Linked DNA regions of Macaca fascicularis. The protein of the gene in region 3 interacts with the protein of the main gene of each other region in a biochemical or structural test. Links are inferred from orthologs where the notes say so. Each region holds a gene or a part of one and is shown on either strand. Other genes may lie near its edges.

Evidence for each region.
Region 1: the proteins of NHERF2 (region 3) and RPS6KA1 interact in a test that uses a peptide from one of them, tested with the Homo sapiens proteins (2 studies listed by BioGRID and IntAct). The link is inferred for Macaca fascicularis from reciprocal best matches to the Homo sapiens genes NHERF2 and RPS6KA1.
Region 2: the proteins of NHERF2 (region 3) and SGK1 form a complex in vitro, tested with the Homo sapiens proteins (2 studies listed by BioGRID, with this or other methods). The link is inferred for Macaca fascicularis from reciprocal best matches to the Homo sapiens genes NHERF2 and SGK1.
Region 4: the proteins of NHERF2 (region 3) and PTH1R interact in a test that uses a peptide from one of them, tested with the Homo sapiens proteins (2 studies listed by BioGRID and IntAct, with this or other methods). The link is inferred for Macaca fascicularis from reciprocal best matches to the Homo sapiens genes NHERF2 and PTH1R.
Region 5: the proteins of NHERF2 (region 3) and TBC1D10A form a complex in vitro, tested with the Homo sapiens proteins (2 studies listed by IntAct, with this or other methods). The link is inferred for Macaca fascicularis from reciprocal best matches to the Homo sapiens genes NHERF2 and TBC1D10A.
Region 6: the proteins of NHERF2 (region 3) and CFTR form a complex in vitro, tested with the Homo sapiens proteins (4 studies listed by BioGRID and IntAct, with this or other methods). The link is inferred for Macaca fascicularis from reciprocal best matches to the Homo sapiens genes NHERF2 and CFTR.
Region 7: the proteins of NHERF2 (region 3) and PTEN form a complex in vitro, tested with the Homo sapiens proteins (2 studies listed by BioGRID and IntAct, with this or other methods). The link is inferred for Macaca fascicularis from reciprocal best matches to the Homo sapiens genes NHERF2 and PTEN.

The regions. Positions count from the first base shown.
Region 1 is NC_088375.1:208,564,260-208,567,759, forward strand, and holds part of RPS6KA1 (ribosomal protein S6 kinase alpha-1), read right to left. Parts: intron 900-3,500; coding exon 819-899; intron 653-818; coding exon 573-652; intron 1-572. UniProt on the Homo sapiens protein: Serine/threonine-protein kinase that acts downstream of ERK (MAPK1/ERK2 and MAPK3/ERK1) signaling and mediates mitogenic and stress-induced activation of the transcription factors CREB1, ETV1/ER81 and NR4A1/NUR77, regulates translation through RPS6 and EIF4B phosphorylation, and mediates cellular proliferation, survival, and differentiation by modulating mTOR signaling and repressing pro-apoptotic function of BAD and DAPK1.
Region 2 is NC_088378.1:38,322,395-38,326,586, forward strand, and holds the start of SGK1 (serine/threonine-protein kinase Sgk1), read right to left. Parts: upstream 2,801-4,192; 5' UTR 2,253-2,800; coding exon 2,184-2,252; intron 1-2,183. UniProt on the Homo sapiens protein: Serine/threonine-protein kinase which is involved in the regulation of a wide variety of ion channels, membrane transporters, cellular enzymes, transcription factors, neuronal excitability, cell growth, proliferation, survival, migration and apoptosis.
Region 3 is NC_088394.1:2,793,671-2,797,646, reverse strand, and holds the start of NHERF2 (Na(+)/H(+) exchange regulatory cofactor NHE-RF2), read right to left. Parts: upstream 2,801-3,976; 5' UTR 2,693-2,800; coding exon 2,480-2,692; intron 1-2,479.
Region 4 is NC_088376.1:109,772,657-109,776,877, reverse strand, and holds the start of PTH1R (parathyroid hormone/parathyroid hormone-related peptide receptor), read right to left. Parts: upstream 2,801-4,221; 5' UTR 2,669-2,800; intron 1,344-2,668; exon of another isoform or gene 1,252-1,343; intron 1-1,251.
Region 5 is NC_088384.1:21,340,185-21,344,221, reverse strand, and holds the start of TBC1D10A (TBC1 domain family member 10A), read right to left. Parts: upstream 2,801-4,037; 5' UTR 2,744-2,800; coding exon 2,535-2,743; intron 1-2,534.
Region 6 is NC_088377.1:158,928,648-158,932,634, reverse strand, and holds the start of CFTR (cystic fibrosis transmembrane conductance regulator), read right to left. Parts: upstream 2,801-3,987; 5' UTR 2,581-2,800; intron 2,251-2,580; exon of another isoform or gene 2,229-2,250; 5' UTR 2,180-2,228; coding exon 2,127-2,179; intron 1-2,126. UniProt on the Homo sapiens protein: Epithelial ion channel that plays an important role in the regulation of epithelial ion and water transport and fluid homeostasis. Mediates the transport of chloride ions across the cell membrane.
Region 7 is NC_088383.1:96,734,467-96,738,641, reverse strand, and holds the start of PTEN (phosphatidylinositol 3,4,5-trisphosphate 3-phosphatase and dual-specificity protein phosphatase PTEN), read right to left. Parts: upstream 2,801-4,175; 5' UTR 1,956-2,800; coding exon 1,877-1,955; intron 1-1,876. Other genes in the region: KLLN (killin), read left to right, coding at 3,931-4,175. UniProt on the Homo sapiens protein: Dual-specificity protein phosphatase, dephosphorylating tyrosine-, serine- and threonine-phosphorylated proteins.

The DNA.
Region 1 (3,500 bases), on a different chromosome or scaffold from region 3:
TGTGCCTCTGCTTCCTGAGTAGCTGGGATTACAGGCACACTCCACCATACCCAGCTAATTTTTGTATTTTTAGTAGAGACGGGGTTTCACCATGTTGGCCAGGATGGTCTCGATCTCCTAACCTCCTGATCCGCCCGCCTCGGCCTCCCAAAGTGCTGGGATTACAGGTGTGAGCCACTGCGCCCAGCCTCAAATCCTTTTATATTGGTTCAAAATCCTGTTGGATGACATATGGGAGATGACTGCTGAAGTGTCTGGCTCTCTGGGTGACTTTGGGCTTCTCCCGTATCTTCACACCTCTGCTCAGAGCAGCCCTGGAAGAATGCAGGTGCGGAGGTGAGAGGAACCCTTAGCTCCCCAGAGTTTCCTTGGGAGAAACTCTCAGAGACCTTGCCAGCGTATGGCCTCCATCCGAGGGTGAATGGTATTTCCCGGGCCAGGGGCTGCTAGGCAGGCCTGGGTGGTTCCAGATTCAAGCCATCTGAACACATTCTGTACAGGGCCCTGGGATGGGAGACCTTGTTGTCCCCCAGCTCCATGCCGGGGCCCTCTGGCAGTAGATGTCAGCTCACCTCTTTTGAGAGCCGTGTGAAGAGATCCCCACCACGCAGGAAGTCCAGAATGAGATACAGCTTGCCCTCGGTCTGGAAGGCTGGGGAGAGGGAGAAAGGCAATGGTAGAGTCACCCGGGCCTTACGACCTGCCCCTTCAGCCCTGGCTCCCTTGGCCTACCAGGCAGGCGGTGGGAGAGTGTACAGACCACAGGCAAGGGTGAAAGATGGGTAGGGGAGGAGCTCAGATAGGGCCTGCAGCTTTACCATAGTGCAGCTTCACCACGAATGGGTGGTTTACATCAGCCAGGATGTCTCTCTCCATCTTGGTCCGGACACGGTCACGTACTGGCCAGACGAGAAAGGAAGTCACCAGTAGTCTAGACACTCAACACAGTCACTCCCAAGCCCCCGCTAAGGGATCTCTTTTCCACTTGTTCCTCCAGGCCTGAGCTCCCAAGGCCCCCTCACCCAGGGCTTTGGGGACACTCAATCCTCAGGTTTCTTCCTTCCCAGTCTGTTTCTGGCTCCTTGGCTGGCTCCTTGCTCCCACCCCTCACAGCAGTGCCCACAGCTGGGGCCTTGGCACCCTGCCCTTCTCTCTGGTCCCTTCTCCCACCACGCCCCATCAAGGCCTGTTAACCAGCCAGTCTGAGCAACCTGCTCCCCAGGTGCTCTGTTTTGTCACATCCTCAGACTTTGCCTCTGCACCTCCCCCTGGCACGCCTTCACCAGCCCTGCTTTCCATCTGGCATAAAAATTCCCAAATTCCAGTCAGGGCTGGTAAGAACGGCTACCTGGGGAGCTAGAGAGGCAGATTCCCTGGGCCTAAAATCCCGATCCATGGGTCTAGGCGGGCACCCTTCATATATGTTTTTTTTTTTTCAAAGAATAAAAGTTGTCGGGCAGTTCTGACTCTCAGCAGGTTCTTTGGCTCAGCTTAGGCCTCACCTCCTCTAGGAAGCACTCCCTAATTTGCCAAGCTGAGTTAGGGCCTTCTGGATTCCTACAGTGCTTCTCCTTCAGAGCACTCTTCTCTTTTTCAGGTTGCCTTCTAAATTTATTGAAGCCCACCAAGTATCATGTTTTATTGATTTTTCTTTTTTTTTTTTTTTTGAGACAGAGTCTTGCTCTCGCTCTGTCACCCAGGCTGGAGTGCAGTGGCCGGATCTCAGCTCACTGCAAGCTCCACCTCCCGGGTTTACGCCATTCTCCTGCCTCAGCCTCCCGAGTAGCTGGGACTACAGGCGCCCGCCACCTCGCCCGGCTAGTTTTTTGTATTTTTTTTTTTTTAGTAGAGACGGGGTTTCACCACGTTAGCCAGGATGGTCTCGATCTCTTGACCTCGTGATCCGCCCGTCTCGGCCTCCCAAAGTGCTAGGATTACAGGCTTGAGCCACCACGCCCGGCCTATTGATTTTTCTAGTGTGATTAGAACAGGCTTTTGGGCCGGGGGTGGCTCATGCCTGTAATCCCAGCACTTTGGGAGGCCAAGGCAGGTGGATCACTTGAGGTCAGGAGTTCAAGACTAGTCTGGCCAACACGGTGAAACCCTGTCTGCATTAAAAATACAAATTTTTCACGCCTGTAATCCCAGCACTTTGGGAGGCCGAGGCGGGCGGATCACAAGGTCAGGAGATCGAGACCATCCTGGCTAACACGGTGAAACCCCGTCTCTACTAAAAATACAAAAAAAATTAGCCGGGCGTGGTGGCGGCACCTGTAGTCCCAGCTACTAGGGAGGCTGAGGCAGGAGAATGGCTTGAACCCAGGAGGCGGAGGTTGCAGTGAGCCGAGATTGCGCCACTGCACTCTAGCCTGGGCGACAGAGTGAGATTCCATCTCAAAAAAAAAAAAAAAATACAAATTTTAGGGCCAGGTGTGGTGGCTCACGCCTGTAATCCCAGCACTTTGGGAGGCCAAGGCAGGCAGATCATGAGGTCAGGAGGTCGAGACCATCCTGGCCAACGTGGTGAAACCCTGTCTCTAGTAAAAAATACAAAAAAGTAGCCAGCCTGGTGGCATGTGCCGAGACTCTGTCGTGGGAAAGAAAAAAAAAAAAATAGGCTTTTGGACTTGGCTGCTTAGGTTCATTTTGGACACTGTGTTTCAACTTAAGTTTATTACAATATTGATTATCCCTTGACTGAGACCTCTCATGTGGCCTTTGTTTTTTTGTTTGTTTTTTATGAGACAGGGTCTCACTCTGTCACTCAAGCTGGAGTGCAGTGGTGTGATCTTGGCTCACTGCAACCTCTGCCTCCCAGATTCAAGTAATTCTTGTATCTCAGCCTCCCGAGTAGCTGGGATTACAGGCGCACCACACCCGGCTCATTTTTTTTTGTATTTTTAGTAGAGACAGGGTTTCACCATGTTGGCCAGGCTGGTCTTGAACTCCTGACCTCAAATGATCCACCCACCTTGACCTCCCAAAGTGCTGGGATTGCAGACATGAGCCACCACACCCGGCCTTGACTTCTATTAAAAGGAGAGGTGGAAGGCTAAGGAATGCTTACTAAGACCAGACAAAATGTCTGAGCAATACACACAGTGCAAAACTAAAGGCTTTTTTGGTCCATGTACTGGATCGGCAGTTTCCTCTCCAGCCTCATAGTCCCAAAGCCTTCACTAGTCCATCCATCTAGTATGAATTCTATTCAATCGTCACTGCCATTCTAGAATTGATGCTCACAGTTGCTTATCTTAGGAGATCTGGCCAATGTGCTCCTCCTGCACGTCTTTCCAGAGTCTTGTTCGGGACACAATCCTCGGCCCTTGCTACAAGTAGAAGCTGCAGCTGCCTTCCAACACGCCTTCTGTGTCAGCACACAGGGCTACAGAGCTGGTTCCCTTCAGAGCACTTTTCACATCAGTGGGCCCCTTCCTCTATTTTAATTTTTGTATTTTCCTCACTAGACACGACAGGGACCACACCAGAGTTAACTATTT
Region 2 (4,192 bases), on a different chromosome or scaffold from region 3:
AGAATTTATCCCTGGGGCATTCAATGACTTGATACAAGGTCACCTTCTACTTAGTTAACTGTCCTTGAGGAGTAAAGAGAGTGCAGGGGCAGGAGAGATGTCTGATACCGTCTCCAGCAACTGATAGACCCAGGTTAGAAGGTAGATGAAGCTGCCTGCCAGTTATCTTGGTAGAAACTTCTTTCTGCATGTACTCAGATAAGACATCAGTACTCTGGGTGGTTCTTTGCAAAATTCAAGGTCTGCAGAGTCACCAACTGAAATCCATTGGTAAATTTACTTTTAAGCAAAACAAAACCAAATGGTAAATTAGTATTTCTATTAGTACATTTTGATAACAAAGAAAATAAAAGACAATTTAAAATGTATGTAACTTAAGTCCACATTGCTTAAGAACATCTGACTGAGGAGTTTTAGAATATCCCTAATACCATGAAATAAATGCCGTAATTAAAAGGTAGTGGAATTTAAGTACTGGATAATGGGCTATGGCATTTTCAAAATTAGCAAAACATTTGTTTATTATTGCAAATTAGGGCTGTGGCTGGTGGCGGACATCTGTAATCCCAACAATTTGGGAGGCTGAGGCAAGAGGATCACTTAAGCCCAAGAGGTCAAGACCACCCTGGGCAATATAGCAAGACCCCATCTCTAAAAAGAAAGAAAGAAAGAAAGAAAATTAATTTTCATAAAGGGCCCTTCCCTTGGAAAGAAATATTTTGGCTACAGGGAAACACGAAGAAGCCTTGTGGAGCTCTGTGAAGTTGCACTGACTTGCTTTCATTCAGCTTGCAGCTCCACTAGTGAGAGATTTCACATGGTACTCCCGCATCAAGAGCAAGGGCCAGGACAGGTTGGTTTCATTTTGGTTTTAATGCATATGTTTTGGCCCACAGACTTTGAGAAAGATTTTGCTTTACTGATGAGAACTCAGTCAAAGGTGCTTGGGAGGCTTCGCTGGCCCTCTAGCTGGGCCTGACACATTGCCTGCATTTCTAGCATTGCCTTCCCAGCTTGCCCATTTGGTGCAGCGAGGTAGTCCAGCCCACCCTGAAATTCACTGTGTTAGGCGGATGAGTTAACTGAAGAACCGTGTTTCAGGAATGGCACAGAAAGGGCCTGAATGAAGGGAAGGACAAATGAATGGAGAGAACCATTTTGGAGGAATTGCCCTAGGGTATTATATAGGATGGGGCAACTGGGGGCTGGAGGATGTTCCTTTTCTTACGTTGCTTAGGAAACACTGTCCTTAAGAGTGTCAGTCATCATTCCTTTAACAATCATTCATTTCTTACCTCCCACTTGTGTATAAATTTGCAGATTTACACAGACCACCAGTGTGGCCATCCCAGTGAACTGAGTTTATTTTGAAACATACATGCAAAAAATCATTTTTTTCTCACCTACAACCAATGCAACATTTTTATTTTTCATACTTTGAGTTGAAGAATAAGGAGTTTAAGAAATAAATGCATACAGCAACATAACCCTGAATTATTGCTCAAATACAGACCTCCCACTGCTCTCTCCTTAAAAAAATAAAAAATAAAAAAAAAAAAGGCAGTTATTCCAAGCAAAAGCAAAAATTGAGGCAACTTAAAATAGACAATTTTAAATGCTGGATTCCATCATTTCGTAAAAGGTCATTCTAGTCCTTTGCTATTTATACCATAGATAGAGACATAGCAAATTATTGGCTGAATGGATTTGGGAAAGCAGAAGCTGCTGCTTCTGACGAATGAAGATGATAATGCATCACTTGAGACTCAGTGGATGAAAGGTGTGGAAAAGTTGAACCCTTCAAAGATAAGACAGAGGAAGCTGCTAAATTAGCCCGTGACTGAATTACTAGCCATAACTGTACTCAGGCCAATTCTCTTTGCAACTGCCTTGTAATCTTTGTTGTGGCTTGAGAGAGAAAAATCCCCATTCCCAGCTCAAACCCTTTTTAAGGCATCTCAGCCCAACCCCCTCCTCCCAATAGCAACTCTTCATAGCCCCCTGCCCCTCCTCCAACAAATTCGAATCAAGGCAGGTATAGTTCTCAGCTTTACCACTGCTGTCAGAAGCACGGCTTACATTAAGGGTTTAGCAACAAAACCTTAGGCTTACTTCAGGCAAACATTCAAAAGCATTTAAGAGAAGCACAGAAAACAAAAGAAATAAGCAAAACCTGTCCTTACCCGCTTCTTAAAAAATTGGAAGGCTGAGCATTTCTTGACTGGGAATCCATTCATGTCTTTGTTTACCATTTTCCACCGTGGGGAATTCACAGTTATAGATCCAGGGTGGCACCCGCCTGGTTAGTGCATATCTGTTTCCCCGGTTTACCTCCTGGAGACAGTTAATGAAGACTGAGCGGGATGGAGAATCTAGCAGGGCTCAGTTCTTCACTCGCTCATTCTGCAGCACCAGCTACTGCAGCAACCTCTCCCCACTTTCAGTTGCCACCGGCAGCGGCTTTTCTCCTTCCATCATTGCTCCGAAACATATGCATCACCGCTGCAGCACCCTGGGGGCCGGACGGTGGGATACGGCCAATCTCCGGGGAGATGCTGTGGCTCCTACCGAGCGGGAGAAAGGTACCCCTCCCCGCCCCCAGCTACCTGGCTGCTCCTCGGCGGCCGGCGCGGGGAGCGAGTCGCTCTTCTCCAGGTGATGCGCTCCTGGAGGCTGCTTGAGGGAGGAGAGTTGTTTTTGATTGTGCAAGTTCCAGTGGGAGCTGTAGTTAAGCAGCTGAGAGAAGGAGTAAGAAAGAGCAGAAATCAGAGGGAGGGAGGGAGAGCCGCGCCAGAAAGGCAGAGGGAGAGAGAAAGCGAGGCTGGAAGAAGCAACGATTCATGAATATCTGAGCAGCGGATGGAGAGAAGGCACAGCCAGCTCAGGATGCGCTGAAGAGCAGTTGACTCCCCTTGGGAGGGCTACTTTAAATAGCTTCTTTTCTTTCTTCTTTTCTGTTAGGAACATTTAAATCCGAGTTTCATATAAATTGTACACCGGTTTTATTTTATGCTCATTGACATTCTTTTGAATCCTGTTTCTGAATAAAACCTCTCAACGGAAATGTAATCACATTTAATCTCGACCTGTCCAAACGTGGAAGAAAATGAAATAAAGTACAAGCGTAGGTATGACAATGGAAGATCTCTGACTATGTAGAAGCTCTTCTAGCCTCCCCTTCCCTACTTGTCATTAGATAATGGGCAATGGTGAAGGTAATTGTGTCTTTTTCACTAAAAAGCTTGTTAAAAAAAGAACACAATGAACATATACAAAGTATTTTATTACACACACACACACACACACACACACACACACACACACACACACACACACACGAGTTATTACCAAAAAGTATTACTGAATCCATTTAATGATGAGGAAGGTTTGATAAATAAAAGAGTAAACCATTCTTCCTATTAGGTGAAAAATTTCCCAAAACATCCTAACTCATGTTATCCTTTGCACATTGAGCTCCTTTTAAAAAAGCCATTTAATTGTATGTGGCTTATTTTTCCATTTTTACTCTTTAATATTGATATTTTATGTGAATGATTTTAAAAATTAGTTTATAGCTAAAGCAAGAGAACAAAGAAAATAAACTTGGCATCTGACCTGGCAGAAAACTACCAACATTGGTGTGTGGCTTTCTGCCATCACCTGACCTCACTGTGCCTTTGGACACTGCCTCATCCATAAAATGGAGGCAGCTACTCATTCATTCATTCACTCATTCATTATTTGCTATTTCATTCCATTAATAAATCTAACTGTGACAAGTGTCCTCAGGATGTGGAGCCTTTTCATAGTTATCACAAGGGAATATAATTGATAAATAAGTGAAAGGCACAATGCTAATTTGAAACTGATTATTACCTCATTATATATAACACACCTAACATCGTTAAAGTATTTACATGGCAGTCTCTGGTAAGAAGAGAAACATCAGGTTAAATTGGGAAATAAATGCATGGGTTTCATTGAATTAGACTATAAATCTCTACAGTTGGGCCAGAGTTTTCGAGAATAAACATGAAATCCTGTTTGCTAAATGACTTGAGGTTTCCAAAAAGAAAATGCAATACAACTAAATGATGGCATGATAACCAAGGGAAAACAAACTACTCATTTTAGAGAGATATGTTACATTGTCCAAGATGCAAGTATATGTTATGTAATCTACAACATTGAT
Region 3 (3,976 bases):
GGTCCAGGCTGTGAGGGCTTCAGGGTCCTCCCAGAGCCTTGCCCTTAGCCCAGGGTCTTCTCCAGGCAGGGCTGGGAAGGGGCTGCAGGGTAGGGCAGCTGGGTAAGTCCCGTCTGGAAGTAACAAAGACGGCGCACAGTGGAGCTTCAGCTTTTCAGTCTGCCTGTTAGTGTGTGCACGTGCATCCATCTGTTTCAAAGTCTGTGTCTGCGTCCAGGTTTGAAGGAGAGGGGTGTCTCCCTGGGCCCCAGTTTGGGTGTGTCTGTGCCCATTCCTGTCATTCTCTGCCATGGGAGTCTAAACCCCTGACCCCAGGCCTTATGTCCACCTCCAGGCCATGACCATGGGCCCATTCCCACTGGACCTGTGAGGAGGGGAATGGCTGGACTCCTGGCTCGGGTACGCACACACAGCCAGGGAAGCAACATTCAGGTACAGCCGGCAAGGGGGAGGGGCAGTGAACAGCTATGGCATGGTGGCTGTCGGCGTGTGGGTACAGGTGCCTGTGAAGTGTCTGGACCATGCAGGGGGCCGGCGTGCACCCGCAGAGAGAAAGCAGTGTCCATTGGGAAGCGGGCGGGAAGACGGGCAGCCCTACTCCCACCTGCGGCCTGGGGGAGGGTGGACAGGGCTCCCCACCAGCCACCGGGCTCAGCAGGGGTGGTGAATAGATAGGAGGGACTGAGCCAGGCCCATCTGTCCCCTGGCCCTCCTCTCTCCCCATGACCCAGAGTGAGACAAGAGGAACCGAGTGCCCAGCTGCTTCTTGACTATGTGTCCCAAACAAGTCACCCTAAATCTCTGGCATCAGTTTCCTCAACTGTCAAATGGGGCAGTAACTGCACCTCTTGCCCTCCTGGGGCAGTGGGGAGAGTCCACCATGGTCTGTGTGTCCAGTCCTCAGAGACCAGCACCCCAGGGCCTTGGATAAGCAGGTGTTCCCTGGGCAAGGGCGGCAACGACTATCAAACAGCAGCCAGGCCCCAGCCCTGCCAGCCCTACCCTCAATCCCTCAGGTCCAGGCCACTGGCCTGATCCCCACCTTCTTTTTTTTTTTTTTTTTTTTTTTTTTGAGGCGGAGTCTCGCTCTGTCGCCCAGGTTGGAGTGCAGTGGCGCGATCTCGGCTCACTGCAAGCTCCGCCTCCCAGGTTCCCGTTCCCGCCATTCTCCTGCCTCAGCCTCCCGAGTAGCTGGGACTACAGGTGCCGCCACCACGCCCGGCTAATTTTTTTGTATTTTTAGTGGAGACGGGGTTTCATTGTGTTAGCCAGGATGGTCTCGATCTCCTGACCTCGTGATCCGCCCGTCTCGGCCTCCCAAAGTGCTGGGATCACAGGCTTGAGCCACCGCGCCCGGCCCTGATCCCCACCTTCTTCAGCAAACAACCTTACACAGCAGACACTGGGTGGAAAGCATGAGGCTGGCCGACGGAGGGACAGACAAGGCACCAGGTGAACAGGAGACCAACTGCAGGCCCAGCTGAACCAACTGCTAATCTTGGGGTTCCAGGACCAGCCATGCAGACAGGTTATGGATTCGCCAGTGCTGTGAGGGACAGGGGACCTGGAGGACAAGGGGTGTGTGGACACTGGACCCCCACCAGGGTGTGGTGGAAGTCCCTGGCCTGTGGGAGACAGACATACCTCAGGGGTCAGAACCCACAGAGAAAAGGCTCTGTTCTCCTTAGCCAGGAGGCAGGAGGCTTTAGCAAGTAACCCCAGCCGGGCTAAGCAGCCTCTGAGGAGGGGTAGTGCCTTTGGAGCTAAGGAATGTGGTTGCCACCAATGGCCAACTCAACCCGGTCCCAGGCATACCGGCTGGGACACACTAGAGTACAGACACAGACTTACCAGCCTGCAGACACACAGTGATGAGTACACTAACCAGGTGTGCACACACACAGAGCTCAGCTCTCACATGCCCAGGAGTCCAGACCTGTACACACACACACACACACACACACACACGCACGCAGACCTGTATACTCACACACACTCCAGCACACACACAACTGCAGACACACTGATGCCCTTACTGCAACCCCTCCTGGGTACACACAGGCAGGCGCGTGCACACTTGGCTGACCCCAGAGGGACCTGCACACACACGCCCAGCTGTGTTCACACGCACACGTGTACACACAACTACGCAAAAGCACCCAGGTCTCCACCTTTCTGGAGGGGCCCCAGGCTGCCCAACACCCTCCTTCATAGCACACTGAGGCCAAAACGCGACCAAAGAGCGAGGCCAACGGCCAGGAGCCGCAGTGCGGGCCCCTCCCTGCCAGGATGCCCCCCCACCCCTGTGCAGGGCTGAGCTTCCTGCGCGGGGACTCGGAAGGCGCCGGGCTGCTGCCTCCCAGCAATGTCCGCGTCCTCTCCGCGGAAGCCCCCTCAGGCCCCCGTGCGACCCCCGCCCGCCCCAGAGGGACGCGCTCAGGGAGGGGGCGGCGGGCCGGGGGCGAGCGCGGGCCCCCACCTGGTGGTGCGTCTCGCCCTCCACGTTGACGCCGTTGACCTCGACCAGGCGGTCCCCAGCGCGCAGCGCCGCGGCCTCGGCGGGGGAACCGGGTTCCACGCGCCGGATGAACTGCCCGCGGCGGCCCTTCTCGCCGTGCAGGTGGAAGCCGTAGCCCTGCTCTCCGCGCACCAGGCGGCACAGGCGCGGCCGCAGCGGCTCCGGAGCGGCCATGGCGCCCGCTGCCCACCAGCCGCCCGCGGGCAGGGGCGCGGGGCAGCTCGGGGGCGGCGGCGGCGCTGGGCACCCGGCGGTGGCTTCGGCGGCTCCCGTTCGGCTCCCGTCGCCTCGGGCTCCGGCTCGGGCTCCAGCTCGGGCTGCGGCACCGCCCCCGCGCCCGCCCCTTCCCCGCCCCCGCCCCCGCCGCCCGGCCGCCCCCACCTCCGGTCCCAGCCATCCCGGCCTCCGTGGCCGGTCATCCCGATTGGGGGTGGGGGAAGGCGGCAGGACTAGGGGACCCCCCAGCCACCAGGACCCCTCTGTCTCACTCCTGCTCTGGGCAGCCGCCTTGGTGACAGCGCCTTTGCCTTCTATCCCAGGAACATTTATTGGATACCTACTGTATGTGCAGCATCCAGGCAGGTCTTGAGGTGGGCGACGGGTTGGACAAAAGGGACCCCCCCAAAGGGGCCAAAGGGTAACAACAAGGGCCACAGCCCCCCCCCACCCTCCCGGGGAAGCCCTCCCAGACCCCCGTGCCTATCTCCTCTCCGCTGTGCCTGATCTGGATCCCTCCTGCAGCCAGAACTGCCCTGGCCCAGGGGTCTCAGGAGGGCCCAGGAGGCAAAAAGAGGTTTAAACGTGACACGCAGCTGTCCCTCCCTGCATCCTGGGGGCCAGTGGCTTGAGACTCCCTGGCCTACCCTCCGTGTTTGGGCTATCTGCACAGCGTCCATTCCCGCCATTCTTTCCCTTGGCCGGGCCGGCACCCCTACTTGTGTCCCAGCCCACCCCAGGCCTGGACTGTGACTCTGCAGGGTAACGAAAGGATGAGTCTCGACATGGGCCTCCACTGACTTCTTTGGGCTCTAAGCTCTGGGTGGTGGCCAGTGTGCACAGGCGTTGCTCCACAGTGTCCGCAGGCAGGCAGCAGGCCTCCTCTCCCCTGCCCACAGCCGTCTACGTCCCTGAGCCTCTACGTGAAGCACGAGTGTCCCTCCTTCCCCAACAGGACAGTCGCCACCACAGTGAAATCGTTTATGCTTGAGCGCATTTTACTTGGAACAACCCTAGGGGCTTGGCCACTTCACAGACCTGCAAACAGGCCTGGAGAGGGACCCACAAAGCTTCCTCAGCTCCCTTTGGGCCCAGGGATGTGAGATTCGGAGTCCATGCTCTTCACCACCCAGCTCTTCCTCTGTCTCCAATATAGGAAGACAGCTGAGTCCAGGCACAGCCCCAGTCTGCCCTCCTCCCCAGCCCAGCCAGGCCCCCCGCACATACCTGGTTCCCAGGGGT
Region 4 (4,221 bases), on a different chromosome or scaffold from region 3:
CCTGCCTCAGCCTCCCAAAGTGCTGGGATTACAGGTGTGAGCTACCAGCCCTGGCCCTCCCCATGCATTTCTATGGCTGCCTCCCTTCTCTGTGCCCACTGCCCTCATTTCTTGTTCTGGTGTTCAAGGGCAGTGCTATTTGAGACAGTTTCCTCCGAAAATGACTCTCCCTGACAGGAACTGTCTGCTAGACTCCTGGCCTTCTTCACATATCCACTCTCCTGCTTTTGTCCTTGCTGCTTCCTCTGCCAGGATCATACTCCTCTGCCTGGTGTAAAGGACACTTCCCTCCCTCCTTGTGTGCCCACATCCTCCATTACTGGGGAGGGAGGTTGTGATTTCAGGGCTGCCTCCTATGGTATGTAGGCTCCTTGGGACAGAGGCCCAGGTGCCAGAATGGGCACCTAAAGAACACTTGTGGTTCTTCGGTGTTATATTTTAATGGTCTCAGCTTTATTATGCCTCTGTTTCTTTTCTTTTTTGAGACAGAGCTGTTGCCCAGGCTGGAGTGCAGTGGTGTGATCTTGGCTGACTGCAACCTCCACCTCCCAGGTTCAAGCAATTCTTTGGCCTCAGCCTCCCGAGTAGCTGGCATTACAGTTGTGCACCGCCACGCCTGGCTAATTTTTGCATTTTTAGTGGAGATGGGGTTTCTACATGTTGGCCAGGCTGGTTTCAAACTCCTGGCCTCAAGTGATCTACCTGCCTCGGCCTCCCAAAGTGTTGAGATTACAGGCGTGAGCCACCACACCCAGCATTTTTTTTTTTTTCCAGACAGGATCTTGCCCTGTCACCTAGGCTGGAATACAGTGGCACGGTCACGGCTCACAGCAGCCTGGACCTCCTGGGCTCAAGCAATCCTCCCACCTCAGCCTCTCATGTAGCTGGGACCACAGGCATGAGCCACCACACCTGGGTAATTAAATTTTTTTTTTTTTTTTTTGTAGAGACGAGGTCTCACTTTGTTGCCTAGGCTGGTCTCCAACTCTTGGTCTCAAGCAATCCTCCTGCCTCGGCCTCCCAAAGTGCTGGGATTACAGGCATGAACCACCACACCTGGCCTATGCCTGTTTCTGTGTCTCTAAGTTTTATGGTTCTGTGACCACTGATCTCCCACCCTGCTTTCCCCCTTGGTGATGAGAAAAGAACATTAATGGAGGGATTGGAAGGACTGAGAGATAAAACTAGAGGCTGAGGGAGGAGATCTTTTCAGATCTGACACCAGGGAAAACTTGAGATTTGGAAACTTACTGTTTGTACTTGGGAGGACCAGAGTGGGCTGTGGAGAGGGCTGCAGAGAGGAATCTTTGATGGGTGCTGGGCCCCTTAAGGGCATTCCCCTTGCCATAACTCATGTGCCTCACCCCATAGTCCCCTGCTGGACATTCCACAGCTGTGGGTGGGGCCACAGATCCTCTCTCTCACCCTCAGGCCTCTGGTTAAAGTGCCACCATGAGGGTGGGGGTGTCACACATTAACTGGTAGCACCCAAGCACCTGGCAGAGTCAGCTTGCCCTTTTTGACAAGCAGGCCCCAGGGGCCTGGTTAGTCAGTTTCTGGTTAGTGTCAGGTCAGTGTTAGTTTCACTGGCGTTTGAAAAGGCCTGGCTGGAGGTGGGGAGTAGGAGTGAGTCCCTGTCTCTAATCCCCAGGCTGGGGCCTAGGAGGAGGAGCCAGGGTGGTCACTGGATCTCAGAACTGCAGTAGGGGCCGGACTCTGGCCCCACCCCTGCTGGTGTGGCAGCCCCAGGCTGACAGGCCTCTGCTGCAGCCATCCCACTGTGACTAGGGCTCTGGCCAAGGTACACAGACCCTGGGGCCAGGGTGGGCATCAGACACCAACAAGCAAGGCAGAGGCTCAGCTCTCTGAACAATGCAGCCTGGTTCCCTCCCTCAGAAAACCCCTTGCCCTTGCCCGGACCAGGGATTCTCTGGGACTAATGGCTCACATCTATCTATTTCTGAGTCCTTATATTCCCCCACTGCTTCATCCCAACACTAGCCCCAAAGTCAGCCTGCATCCAAGCTTAGCCCTGATCCCAGACTAAGCTCTATCTCCATGATGAGCCCCAGCCTCAGGCTGAGTTCTTATCCCAATCTGATTTCTAGCCCCTGGCTGAACTCTGACCCCAAGCTGTGCCTCCACCCAGACCTCTCTCAGCTTCCAGGCCCCTCTGGAAGCTTTTTGAGGCAAGAGGCCAGTAGGGGAGGGGATGGCCAGGCCATAAGTGAAGCGAGGTGCCACTTTTACAGCCATTTCGGCTGCTCATAAACACCCCCTGACACCCGGCGGAGTCGCTGGAGGCTCCCATGGCAGCTGGCTGGGCAGCCCCCTCCCCTTGCAGCAGAAGCACGGCTGCCCGGCTTTCTTGCTTCTCAGGAAGATGAAGGGAGGGACGATGGGGGCACGTGGGGCCAGCAGGCTCTGTCCCAGCCAGGGAGCTCTCCCAAAGAGCTAGAGGTATGGGCTTTCTGTCCCTGCTGGCCTCATGGTTACAAGCCCCCTGCTGTCATAACACCAGGTCCACAGATGTGTCTCCATGCAGGCATGTCTTGTCTACCCCACAGCACGGCCGGCCCAGGTGCTTACATACTCACCCCCGGGGAAACCACAGACTTGGACCTCCCAGCTGTGCTCAGGCCCCCAGGCTCCCCTGGCCCCCACTCACCTGGAGCCCACGGGCCTTCCAAGTCGGGCCTACAACTGCAGAGCAGACTCAAGTTGGCCACGGGGAGGCCATGGATAGTCCCTGAGCAGCTTCTGTGGCTCAGGCCTAAGCAAGGATAGCGCTGCTGAGGACAGGAAAAGGCCTGAGTCAGAGCTTCCACTTGAAAAGAAAAATTAATTATTTTTTACCAAGCCCTACACTGGCCTAGGACTTTGTCCCAGACCCCTAGTCAGGAGTAGGAGGCAACAGAGACAGATCCAAGCATGCCAGTGTTCAGATGCCCTGGGTTGGGCCCTCATCTCAGCACCCATGGGTCTGCCTGCCAGGTAACCGGGCCCACTCAGGCTGCCAGACATGTGTGTGTGCCTCAGTAGTCCTCCCCTTGCCCTGCCACGCCTCTCTCTTAGTCTCTGTGTCCCTGTCTGACCCTCTGGTCCTTTCCACATCTCAGGAATATCAGGCCGCCATGAGGTATGAACACAGCCCCTACTAGTGACTTCACTCAAGTTTAAGGCACCCAGAGAAATCAGAGGGGGGCTGGAGGTGGTTCTTGCCTGTGTCACGGGCAGGACAACTGAGGCCCAAGAAGGCCTGATCTGCCAGCACTGGGTACCCAGTGGCTCCTAGACGGAAGAGATTGGGGTGGGGGCGTCATTCCACTCCTGCCCGTGTCCTGACCCCTACAGCCCCACAGTCACCCCATATCTGACTCCTTGCCCACTGGAATGTGGGCTCCTGGTGAGGAGTCAGCCAGGAAGCCCTCTCTATCTGCCTCCCAGGCCCTTCCAGGCCCAGGGTCTGCTTAAGCCGTCACAGGTCCCAAAGGCAGGGGGCTGTGGACAGGATGACCTCTCTGTGGGTCTGTAGAACGAGCTGTGTTCAGAACCAGGGCTGGTTGCTCAGGATGAAGATGTGGGCAGACAGGGAGACAGAGACCCTGCAAGATCCCAGAAGCCTCATCCCCAGCCCTGTGACCCGGCTGGAGGCTGCCCTTCTGCCTGAGCCCAGTCTGAGCTGGTTTGTGTCTGGAAGTCCTAGGCTCAGCCTGATGAGGTATAATGATTCACGTGGCAGCTGCCACTCAGCACATTCCAGCTGTAGCCCCCAGCGCCCTGCATGTGAGGCAGCTGGCCCCAACCACCCTCAGCCATTGGGCACGTTCCTAGGGCCCCCCTCCCTGGGTCTTCCAGGCTCCTGGGGAGGGTACCACTCATTAGAGTTTCCAAAGTACTTTTTGTTTCGCAAGTTAGACGGGGAGGCAGGGAGCTCGGTGATACCTGGCCTCCAGGTGGGGGAAACGGGACCAAAAAGCAGAATGGACTGGCCAGAGGACATAGTGAAACTATGACAAACAGCACTTACGGTGCTCCTGCCCCAGCTGCTCTGAAGTGCACTGCTCCAAGGGGTATCTCGGGACACGTAGGCCATTCTGTGACCACACCAGCGGGAGTCAGTGGGCAGTTGTGCTCAAAGGAGGGAGAGCTCCCCTGTGCTCTGTCAAGCCTCCCTGTTGCCCTGGCTCTCGACCGCCAGAGCCTCTCCTTCCCCTGAGT
Region 5 (4,037 bases), on a different chromosome or scaffold from region 3:
AGGGTAACTGAAATGGACTTCTAATCTGGAGTCAGAGTCCCCACCATCACCACAGTACCCATGAGTGCTAACGTTTCACTTCTCTAGCATAGAACATGGACTCCTAGCCTTCAACCACAAGACTGGGTTTAGGGCAGTCACCCTGAAACTTCCCATAACTTCCCCTTTATGGCCTTGGGCAGGGACTTACTCTTGGCTTTTTTGAAACCACAATATAAACTAAGTAGGGAACATCGAAGCTTTCAGATACCAGAGATTTTGGGTTGACCGACAGGCTCCACAAAGTGAGGGAGGGAGAGAGAACTGGACCTGGGATCTGACCTCAGTCCCAGCCCTACAGACAGCAGCAATGTAGAGGGTGTCTGCAGAGCCACATCCCGGGTTTGTGGTTGTGGGGTAAGAAAGACAGATGTCTGGCTGCCTGGTTGGGGACTACAGCCAAAGGGAGGTGCTTCCACTGGGGCCTCACTCTGCCCACAAATACCAGAGATATGCCCTCATTTTTCTCTTCATTTCTCAGACCCTTAGAAGGAAAGAAAGAAAACTAACATTTTCTGGGCCACTACTTGTGCCAAGTGCTGTGCTAAGCACCTTCACATATCTGATCTCATTTAACCCCCAAGAGTAATGTTGAGAAGTGGGTGTTACTGTTGCCCTTTACAGTGAGTAAACAGGCTCAGGGATTCAGGATCTTGCCCAAGGTCACAAAGCTAGCAAGTGTAATTCCTTTTCCTAATATATCTCATTGCTCTGCACCCCAAGATGTGGTTGATTGCCTGATAAGCATGCAGTAGGAATTCTCATGCCCTAGCATTCTCCCACAAATCTGAGCTCTTCCTTCCAAGGTCCCATAAATGCAACTGGGAACTCCTTTCCCAGATCTCAAGACCACACCCCTCCCTGGGCCCTAATCCCAGGTGACTGCTCTTCAATTCAAAACACTCCAGGTCCCCACTAAGTTCTCACAAGTGAATCCCTGGGGAACTGTGACAACGCATCAGTCACGGGGAGGGTTCAGAATGAGGGGTGCTCTCTCTGGGTCCTGGACTAAGCTTAGCCTGCTGTGAGCCAGTAGGGAGGTATTGGAGGAGACAGATCCAGAGGGTGAGAGGGAACTCCCTTAGGGGAGGGGCCTGGATTTCTCCAAGGAAGAAGGAGGCCTGGTGAATAAGAGGCTTTAGGGCTGGGGAAAATCCCGGAAGTGACAGGGGTTCTTAGACAGTCAAAGGGCTTCCATAAGTCATGAGAGAGTCTGGGGTGACCTTGGACAATCTCAATTGGTCAGAGATGGGGAGAAAGGATATTCTCTGGAGTAGGGTCATGGCAGGGCCTCAGGAGCTCCTACTGGTGATTGGGATGGAAAGCACACATCAGGAGGGAGCCTTGTCATTTCTGTGCACAACACTGGTCTCACATGACAGGACAGCTGGGATGGGAGTGGGGTATGGAGTCCATCTTTTCTAAGGGGACCGCCCGCCTGTGCACATGATCTCTGAGGCCTGGGCTCAGGGGATTCTGTGGGGCACCGTGCGGCCCAGCTTGGAGGCAAGGTGCTAGCCCACTGCCCCACATTTCTCTGTCTGCTAGCTGGGTGTCTGGGTGCTCTCGGGATAGGACATCAGGGGGTGCTATATGAGCAGGGACCCTGCTGTCTCCCTGCCTGCCCCTGTCCCATGCCCAAGATCTGCCTTTGGGAGGAGGCACATGTTTCCAGGACACACACAGAGCCCATCTACTGCCTCCTGTGGCTGCTGAAGCTGACGGTCTGTCCTAGTGGTGGTGCTCCCTGTCGCCCTGTAGGTGCTGGGAAGGGGGAGTACCTGCCCACCTGTTGCCGGTGCCAGTGGAGGAAGCTGTGTATGAGGGGGTAGGGGGCCATTTTCTAACCCTTCCATGAGGAGAAGGGACTGTCTGTCCTAGGATGCGGCTGAGGGGAGGGAGGCGACCAATGTCAGTCCATCCAAAGGTATGTGTGCCTCGAGGAAAGGGTCAGTCTGTCCTGGGAGGGGTGGGGGCAGGGCAGTCAGTCCTGAAGTCGGTCTGAGGTCTCTCGGTGTGGGGGCAGTGTGGGGGGCGGGGAGACAAGGGCATCTGTGGGTTTGTGGGAGGGGGAGGGATGGAGAATACGTGTCTATGGAGGGGGGCGCCAGCCATCTGGGAGCCTGTCGGGGTGGCAGAGACAATCATCCCTAAGGCCTTGGAGGCAGGGGTGGCTTTGGGGCAGTGTCTGTCATTCTGTTCCACTGCTGGGAGGAGGGCACAGTCGGTCCTTCCTGGGGGCGGGTCAGTCTGTCTGGAGGGTGGAGGTGGCAGGTGGAGGTGTGGGCCCGTCCGCCCCCTGGGTCGGAAGTAGGACTGCAAAGGGGGCGGGTCTGGGAAGGCAGGGATGGTGGGGGTGGGGCAGGAGAGGGAAGGGGGATTGGTGGTCCCTGCTTGGGAGGGGGACGTGTCGGCAAGTCCCGAGGGCGCCTCCGTCTGTGTCGAGGCCCCCCGCGTGGGTACCGCGCTCAGTTCCGACCCCCGGCGCTACTCACGCGCCCTCGGCGCCCTGTGAGCCCACGATGAAGCCGAACTTGTCGATGCGGCGCTCGGCGAAGCCGTTGGCCTCCGAGTCGGATCCGAGAGAGCTGAGTTCGTCTGTGGTTGCGGCGTCGGGGCCCTGGGCCAGGCTCTCCCGGGTTCCCGACAGGCTTTCCCCGGCCGCGGGCGCGCGCGGCCCATTCTCTCCGTTGCTCTTCGCCATCCCGGCCGCGCCCGCCGCCTGAGCCCCAGCGGCCACCTCAGCCGCCCGGCTGCCGCCGACGCCCCGCCCACGCGCGGCGCCTATTGGCCGCCGCAAGGGAGGGGGCGGGGCTACAGGCCCACCCGGGAGCTCTCCCCCCACGCCCAATGGGCGCCGCAGACCCCGGGCCCCGCCCACCTTCCCCGGCGGGCGCCAGCAAGCCCGACGTGAGGGGGCGGGGCAGCCGTCACCGCAGCCCTCCCCGCCCTCCTCTGGGCTGCCAATCACAAGAACTCACCTGGACGAGCTCGGGCTTTTCCGGGTTGGCCCCAAGCGGGGCCTGTCACCTACTGCAGAGCGCGAGCCAGAGGCCCAGGGCTTCCTCCATGTTCCTCATCTGCCTCCTGAGCCCCGCTCCTTGCGAGACCCCAAGGACGTGATAGGGATTGTTTCCCCCATTCATATATGAGGAACTCTGAGGAGGTCCAAGTGAGTTCAGGGACGCAGAGCGGCTTAAAGGCCCAGCCTGAGCGAGAAGTTTGGCAGTCCCATCGCACTCACTGCTTCTGGGGTTTTAAATTATCTCGTGAGACCTAATTATTAATAATCACCAGCGTTTACTGAGCCACGCACGCCCAAAGCTCTACCTACATTCTCCTGCAGTCTTTTCCCCAGCAGTTTTATGGAACATAAACATACCATAAATTCACGTTTAAAGTGTACAAGATTTTTAGCATATTTACAAAGTTGTGCAGCCATCACAACACTCTAATTTTAGAACATTTTCATCACCCTAAAAGAAACCCCTACCAGTTAGCAGTCACTCCGCATCCTGGCTTCCCCAATCCCTGGCAACCACTAATCTGCTTTCTGTTTCTATAGATCTGCCTTTTCTGGATATTTCATATAAATGGAATTATACAATATATGGCCTTTTATGTCTGGATTCTTTCTCTTGAACATTTTCAAGGTTCATCCACATTGTAGCATGTATCAGAGCTTCTGGATTCACATCTGCCCCAGGTATGTCTGGCTCCACCCCTCCCTTTCCTGGGATAGGCCCACACTGCCATGAAAGACCCATATTGCCCCTCCTGGGAGCTGGGACTAGACCAGATTTTGTTTTTCCATTCATCAGTGATGGTCATTCGCGTGTTTTCAGTTTTTAGCCATTATGAATAATGCTGCTCTGACCATTCAGATACAAGCTTTTGTGTGGGGGCCTATGTTCTAATTTCTCTTGGATAGATAAGGAAGAGTGAAATTGCTGGGTCATATGGCAACTGTTTAACCTTTTGAGGAAGTGACAAACTGT
Region 6 (3,987 bases), on a different chromosome or scaffold from region 3:
AATTCTAAGGCATTTAACAACCTATGATAGAAACATATGATGTGTTTCCTGTATATCTGGTAAGGCCATGTGAAACACAATTTTTCATAAATTAAATTCTCATCCAGGCCCACTCATTGCATATCCAGATTAAGAGTCACAAAATTATACTCAAAGATGAATTGAACATCTTATATTAACAAGGTACATGTACTGTAATGAATGTAAAAATATGGTAATCCATAATAATAGCAGTTAACATTGGGCTAACCCTTCACATTCATTTTCTCAAGGGATTAACCCCTATGACAGTCTCCAAATTTTAAAGGTCAAGTCACACACAGAGATGTTAAGGGACCTGCCTCAGGCAACACAGCTACTAAACAGTAGATGTAGGATCTGAATCGAAATAATCTGACTCCAAAATCTACCACTTTTGAAAACTAAGCAATACTGCCTAACTTAATGCAAAAAATATGTTTTTTACAAGAATTGCAGTCCAGAAGGCCAGAAGGAAGTTTGTAATCATTGGTATTTTAGGTGATTGTCAGTTCCTATAAATAGTAGGAACTTAACTTTTAAAAACATACCTATTCTTGGAGCAACTTATGAAGTATTTTGGAGAACAGAAATGAGTATGCTCTTAACACACTTAGTAGCCTTTGTAATACATTTTCTTTGCAAACCAGCCTGATAGCATTTTTTAACCTATATTAAATGTGTCAGGTGATTTGTAAAAAGAAAATTATATAAAAACCCACTTTGACAGATCAATAGTAAGCTATTTTAAAGTTCATTAGTATTTAGAACTATCCATGGAATATTAATTCTTCTGAAAACTGCATTTTTAGACTGATTGGCATTTAGCTTCCTCAAAGTTCTCTGCTAAAAAGGTCTATAATTTATGCCAATTAACATTCTGATTTTATAAGAAGTAGGAAAACAGATCAATAGATAAGCCGATTTTATGGAAGAAGTAACAAAAGGTGCTATAACATCAATACAAAAAGGTAATTCCAAAGAGTAAAGTCCTTCTCTCTCATCCACCGGGAGGAGCTCTCCTTCAAGGGCCACAGTCTCTCCTTAGCACCGGAGTTCCAGGATTAGCTGCACATGCAGAGAACTAAACATAACAGAAATGTGAAAGCTAAATCTCTTCCCCCCTACACACTTATATGAGCTATTTATAACATATTTCACTTTTTTGATACCTCAGTATGCTTATTCATTGGGTAATTATGAGTCAAGTAATATCCCACGAGAGAGAAGTACCTACTCATTCATTCACACAGGTATAACAGGAACAAAGTAGATGCAATATCCAAAGAACACTTCAAATATGAAGTGCTACATCTAATAACACTTTGCCTAAGATTCCGAACTTAGACGCTGTTTTTCAAAATCTCATTAGATAAAGTTTGCAAGCTTCTATGGCTCAAAGTTTGCAAGCTTCTATGGCTCATCACATTAGGCTAGGAATACAATTTATTAAATGTCAGTTGGATATAACTTCAGTATCTATTTCTATGGCTTTTAAAATTTATAGCTTGTAAAGTTAACTTTTTTCAAAATAAATATTTCAACAAATTTGCTTTCAATTTTTAAAGAACAATGTACTTGTGACAAATACTAGATTTATCCAGTCTCATAACAATAAATATTTTAAGCACATATTTTCTACCTACCCCAAAAATTTTTTTGGCAGAATTCAGTCAAGAAATGTTTTCTGAGCACCTACTATATGCAGGCATGGCACCTGTATGTGCCAAGAAGATAATCAAGTGTCCAAGGCATGAAGGGGGAAAACCAATAAACCACACTTAAGTATTTATTATTAACAAGTTTTTTTAGTTTCTTAGAAAAATCAAATAAAATAACTGCATAGTAGCATACTTGGGTCTTGAGATTCTAACTTTTCAGTTGCAAGTAGATGTGGCTGTCTATTCAATCAGCTTCAATTCATTCTTCAATCTCTTCTTAACGCTTTCTGTTTTATTCCACAATACCCACATTTTCTTTCAAAACAATGAATGATAGCGCATCTTTTTAAAAACTGCTTATTTCTTTTCCCCAAATCCAGCCCATACACACGCCCTAATCTTTCGTGGGCACGTGTCTTTCCAAAGCTCGGTTGGCCACCCTCTCACCTGAAAAAAAGTTTGGAGACAACGTTGGCCTTTTCCAGAGGCGACCTCTGCATGGTCTCTCGGGCGCTGGGGTCCCCGCTAGGGCCGACTGGGCTCAAGCTCCTAATGCCAAAGGACCTATTACTCTGGGTGCCTGCCGCTCAACCCTTTTTCTCTGACCTGCTGTGATGTCATTTGCTTCCAACTCCCCCCACCCACCCCTACTCCACACACCACCCCTTCCTTTTGCTCCTTCCCCCGCCTTCACTGCCCAGGTTAAAAGCCGAGTGCTGCCTGGTCCGGCCCCAAATTTGCTCTAGCGGCTTTCTCCACCCACTACGCACCCCCGGCAGCACCCCGGCCGCTCCTTCCTCCTCTCCTCCTTCGCTCCCTCGCCGCCCCGCACCTCCCTTTTCTGATTCTGACTCCCAGCCTCCCTCCCTCGCGCGCGCTCCTTCCAGGTCCGTGTCCTTACCGCCCAGCACCAGGCCCATCCCGCAGGTGGGCGACAGTCGCGGCCGCTCTTTAGGTGCGGTTGGCAACGCTGGAGGACAGAAGAAGCCACCGGCAGAACTGGCTCCCCGGAGAGCCTCCTGGACCGTCCTTCGCGGCAGGGTCCGCCAGACCCAGCACTCGCTGCCACCAGCTTCCCCCGAGCCTGCCTTCCTCCTCTTCCTCCTTTTTCCGATGATCCTAGCTGGGTTCCTGTTACGTTTGCAAGGTGCATTTTGAAAAGGGAAGGAAAATGTGCCTTTCGTGTATCAAAATACAGCCTTAGAGAGCCGAAAAGTTCCGCGGCAGTGTGGGTCTGATGCATTCACCTTAGCGCTTCCTCTGCGTGTTGGAGAAAAGCAGCAAGCTTTATTAGTTTCAGGCTTAGGTGAGTGAACTCCAAGGATGACAAAGAAATCTGAGGACACGTACTTAAAGGGGGAAAAAAAATCTACAAGGAGGTAAGAGGAGATAGTGCTTCGCCTAATTACCAGCCCAGGATTTGTTCCTTGTCTGTCGTTTTTAGTCCAGTGTGCATTTTTAAGGAGGGCTTTGGAGTGTTTTAGCGACAATGACAAGCAACAATGTAAACTAACCCGCCCTCCTATAGATTTCCTAGTCTCAGTCAGCAAAACATCTTGACTAATCCACCGAAAGGAATCCAAGCAGTCTTTGAAGCGAAGGTAATGTGTTAACTTTGACCTGACTCAGAGAAACGCCATCTTCAACTCTCCAAGGGCAACTGGACATTCCCAGGCGTAGGCGCCTTCCTTCTGAGCACTTGGTGTAGGATTGCCTGTGTCTCTGACGGTATTTAAAGAGCCAACCCTCTAATCCCTGAACCCTATTGTGTAAAAGCAAGCACACATTGTGTTTGAATTGAAAAATTCAAAGGAAAGTAAAAATTTTGGCCTGATTACTTCATTGTCAACACATCTAAGGCAAGGGTCTTGTGAATGATCTTATTGTTAACTTGTGGTCACCCAACTACAGTACAAATAAAACATGCATTTCATGATGGAAAGACAAGAACATGTGTTGAAAATAAAGAATGTGTTCAGCAGGTTTTCATAGCTCTGCTTTGCACTTCAGTGGACAAAAGCATACCTTTTTTCTTGAATATTGTAAAGTAAGATTTAGAAACATTTAATCTTTATTATCCTAAATTTGAATAGTAGAGAAAAGGGCAAAGAGATAAACCACATTGCATTAAGTTAGACACCAGGAAAGAACTTTAGCACTTTTAACTCACCATCCACCCTGTTGTTTGAAATCCTCTACCTGTGTTTTCACTCTCCAGTATGACAAAAATTGAGACTGTCTTCACTATTGACTTTTCCCAGACATGTGACTGAACTCACTCCATCCACTTCCCCATCCCCAATCTGTT
Region 7 (4,175 bases), on a different chromosome or scaffold from region 3:
CTTCTGGGCAAGCGGGTTTAGCCTTAGTAACATTTTTATCTTCCAGTTTAGCCTTAGTAACATTTTCAATTAATGCCAACTTCAAAATTTGCAAATACTGTTTTAAAATAATATTACTGACTTAACAGAAAACTAAATTTTGGGAGGCTACTTCTTCAGTAAGTTTTATATTCATTTCAAAACAAAAACTTGGGCAAAATTAACTGTGCACATGTATATGCAGCTAACATAATCCAAGGGAATAAAACCTCTCCCGATATAAACGTTGTCTTAAAAAAAAATCTTCCCCACAATTTTTAGCAGGACATATAGACACTGCAGTGTCACGCTACCTTTAGACAAAATGCAACTGATACTTGCTAAGAAATAATTTTTATTAAAAATACTTTGCTAGTACTTATGCAATTACATAATTTTAACTAAATATTGTCCACTGCCACAATTCGCATTACCAAACTCATATTACCAAATTTTAGGCCTTGATAGAGCCTAAATGCTTCAGTCACTTCAGACCAATAACTTCTGTTTTCACATACCTTATACACTGGCCTACCAATAGCTCTCAATTCCTGTCAATACTTTCCATTCTGCAAAATGAGGGCCCCATCCCCATCCCTAATCAAAACCAGTCTGTTGTACCTGAAACTGCAAAGATTCATGCTTTTCGATGACCACTAACTTTTGAAGCCCGAAGGCCTAACTTTTAGACAACTAAAGCTATACACTGTTAAAATTCTTGGGCTTCTGTCTTATTCAACAAGCTGACTCAGTAAATTTAATACACTGTATGAAAAAAGCTAACATACCTACAATCTAAAGCTGGAGTAAACTTCTCTTGCCAGCATTTCTGGATATTAGCTGGTAAAATTCACTTGACATTCTACACAAATCAGTGAAATTAACAGTACCAAAAGATGTCAGAGAACCTGAAATCTAAAAACGGTGAGCAGCAATTCTGGCATCACAATACTTAAATTTCAAGCATGAACTGAAGTTTTATCTTTGCAATCTTCACTTGCCACACACAATACCCTTGAACCTACACATTGTCATCTGGGATCAAAAACTACTCAATATCCATTCCATGTTTATGACAAGAGCACTGAACATTAAACGCTACTGAAGTGCAAATTTCAAGCCCTATCCTACATCATCCCATAGGGAGAGAAAAAGGTAAATATAACAAAGATCTAGTAAGAACGCCTTATAAGGTATATTATGGCATTATTGATTTCAAACTACAAAACTTCTAAATACAGTCCAAAGTTGTAACTTAAGTGTAAAACATTAACAAAACTACTTTTTGCACTCAATGTGCACCATATATACTGAAAATTATTCTGCTTCTAAAGTTATGCAAATCAGTCATATTTTAAAAGAATCTATCAATGCAACCCAGGAAACTAAAACAATCACTGCAAGATTCTGATGCAATATGCATACGTGCAACACTAATTTTCATTTTATTCTGATCTAAACCCTTGATCTAGGGCCTAAGCCAAGATTTAATCGAAATATGCTCAACCTCAAAGCGTCTACTTTTTTGTTCATTTAGGAGACCGGATTACCGAGCTCTCTAATCCACTAACAGCATACTGTATTCTGTATTAACGGACAATAGCCCTCAGGAAGAGACCGTATAGACAGCCTAAGCAAGCAATCGGTGCCTCGACACTTGCAACCAGGCAAGAGTTCTGTCTAGCCGAACACACCCTAGGTTGAATACAAGAAAAGAAACACAAAATATATGACCTAGCAACCCGACCAGGGTTAAATGTTATAGTCGCCCAAACTAGGGACATTTTCGCATCCGTCTACTCCCACGTTCTAAGAGAGTGACAGAAAGGCAAAGAGGAGCAGCCGCAGAAATGGATACAGGTCAAGTCTAAGTCGAATCCATCCTCTTGATATCTCCTTTTGTTTCTGCTAACGATCTCTTTGATGATGGCTGTCATGTCTGGGAGCCTGTGGCTGAAGAAAAAGGAGGAGAGAGATGGCAGAAGCTGCTGGTGGCGGGGCTTCTTCTGCAGGATGGAAATGGCTCTGGACTTGGCGGTAGCTGATGCCCCTCGCTCTGCCGCCGCTTGGCTCTGGACCGCAGCCGGGTAATGGCTGCTGCGGCGGCTGCTGGATGGTTGCAGCGACTGGGCCTGCTTCTCCTCAGCAGCCAGAGGCCTGGCAGCAGCGGCAGCGGAATGGGGAGAAGACGAATAATCCTCGGAACGGCTGCCTCCTCCGGCGGCCTCCGGAGCCCGGGCCACGGGGGGTGCGGCGGCGGCGGAGGGGAGGTTTAAAACCGGCCCGGGTCCCTGGATGTGCCGCCGCCGCCGCCGCCGTGTTGGAGGCAGTAGAAGGGGAGAGACCAACTCTCCGGCGTTCCCAGCCCTGGAAATGGTGACAGGCGACTCAGACCCCCTCCCTGGAGCTGCAGCCGCCGCGGCCGCCGCGGCCGCCGCTTCTCCCCCCCGCTCCAGGAGCGGGAGGTGCCGCCGCCGCCGCCGCGCCTCAGCCGGCTCCCGCCCGAGCCCACGGCTTCCACCTTCCCCTTCAAGAGAAGCCGAGGAAGCGGCTGCACGGTTAGAAAAGACGAAGAGGAGGCGAGAAACGCCGCCGCTGCCGCCGCCGCAGGCCGGCCGGCTCCCCGAGGGCGCTGCCCCCGCGGCTGCTCACAGGCGCTGAGAGGGGCTCCGGGCCGCGGCCGCCGCCGTCTCTCATCTCCCTCGCCTGAGCCCGGCCTCGCCTCACAGCGGCTCAACTCTCAAACTTCCATCATGGCTGCAGCTTCCGAGAGGAGAGAACTGAGCGCAGCCGCGTCCCGGCGCCCGAGCGCGTATCCTGCCGCAGTGCATAAAGAGTCCCGCCACATCACCGCCCGCCGGCCTGCCCGCCCCCTCCGCCGCCGCGCCGGGAGCCCGGGCTCCTCGGGAGACCGAGGGGAGGCGGGAGCTGAACGAGAGGCGGACTGGACCGTGCCGGGCGAGGGGAGGGCAGGGCAGGGGGCGGTAGGCGGGGACAGAAGCGGTAGCTCCGGGTGCGAGCGCAAAGCCCCCAAGCCGTAGGCTCTACTGAGCATGCCCAGTGTGGCTGCCTAGAGCTCGCTCGGGCCGGTTCCGAGCCGCCAGCCTGCAACTGCACTTGCCGCGGCTGCTTTTGCAGCAGCGCGAGGCGAGGATAACGAGCTAAGCCTCGGCCTCTGCCCAGAAACCCAGCCGGAGGCAGGGTAGGCTGTTGCGGGGCGGGGGTGGAGGACTGATGATGAAAGCTGAGATGGGTGCGTTGAGCAGTGTCACTGACTCGAGTCTCAGGTTACCTGTGCACAGGTGGAAAGGACCAGGTGACCACGCTGGTCAGTATACAGGGAAATGCAGGGACGGTCCTTGCAAGGGTAATACCCTCCCCCCTGCCTCTGCCCCTGGATTTCCGCGGCGTGGACTGCATTCGCTCTTTTGCATCGCTGTCGATCACAGTCGTTCGCAGAGATTTGACTGTAGCAGCCTTTGCCTAGAGATTCCTCCTTTCCCCAACCCTGTGTCCTCAGGATGTCAGTCTTAGCACAAAGAGCAACCTGCTATTGTGTTTCCAGCGTGCATCACCTCATCCGGCTCCCTTGTAGCGCCCCACCTCTCGCTTCCCCGGTAACTCGGCTTGTTTGCCCTAAAAATGAAAGCTCTCAGCCGAGCGTGCTGAACGTGAACACATCGCCGTTGAATTTCCAGAGCCCAAAGGGCACCTATCTAAATGAACTGAAAGAGGATCCCCGTGAGTAGGACGCACCCCGCAGCCCTCTCCTGCGCCCGCTCCGGTGCCCCTAGGAGACTAGAGCATCTCTCCCCCTCGGGCTCCAAGTCAGTTCGCCGCGTCGGACTCAAGCTCGGTTCTTAGAGACCACCTAGCCCCGCCCCCCCTTGGCCTCCGTGAAAACCCGGCGGGATGGATCGCCCGGGGCCAGGCTCCACGCGCCCCGGCCAGACCATGCACGTTCGGGGTTACCAGGTTGAGTGGAAAGTACGGAACGGTAGGAAGCTGCAGCCCAGCGAGTGGGCGGGGCAAGGAGACCTAGGAGGGTTCAAAAGGGGGTGGAAGGATACACGGGCCACAGTCGGAACTACTTTCCGAAGGAGGTCACGTGTGTTCCTAGTTGGGGAACTTTCCAAATTCCCACTCCCCAGTGATAG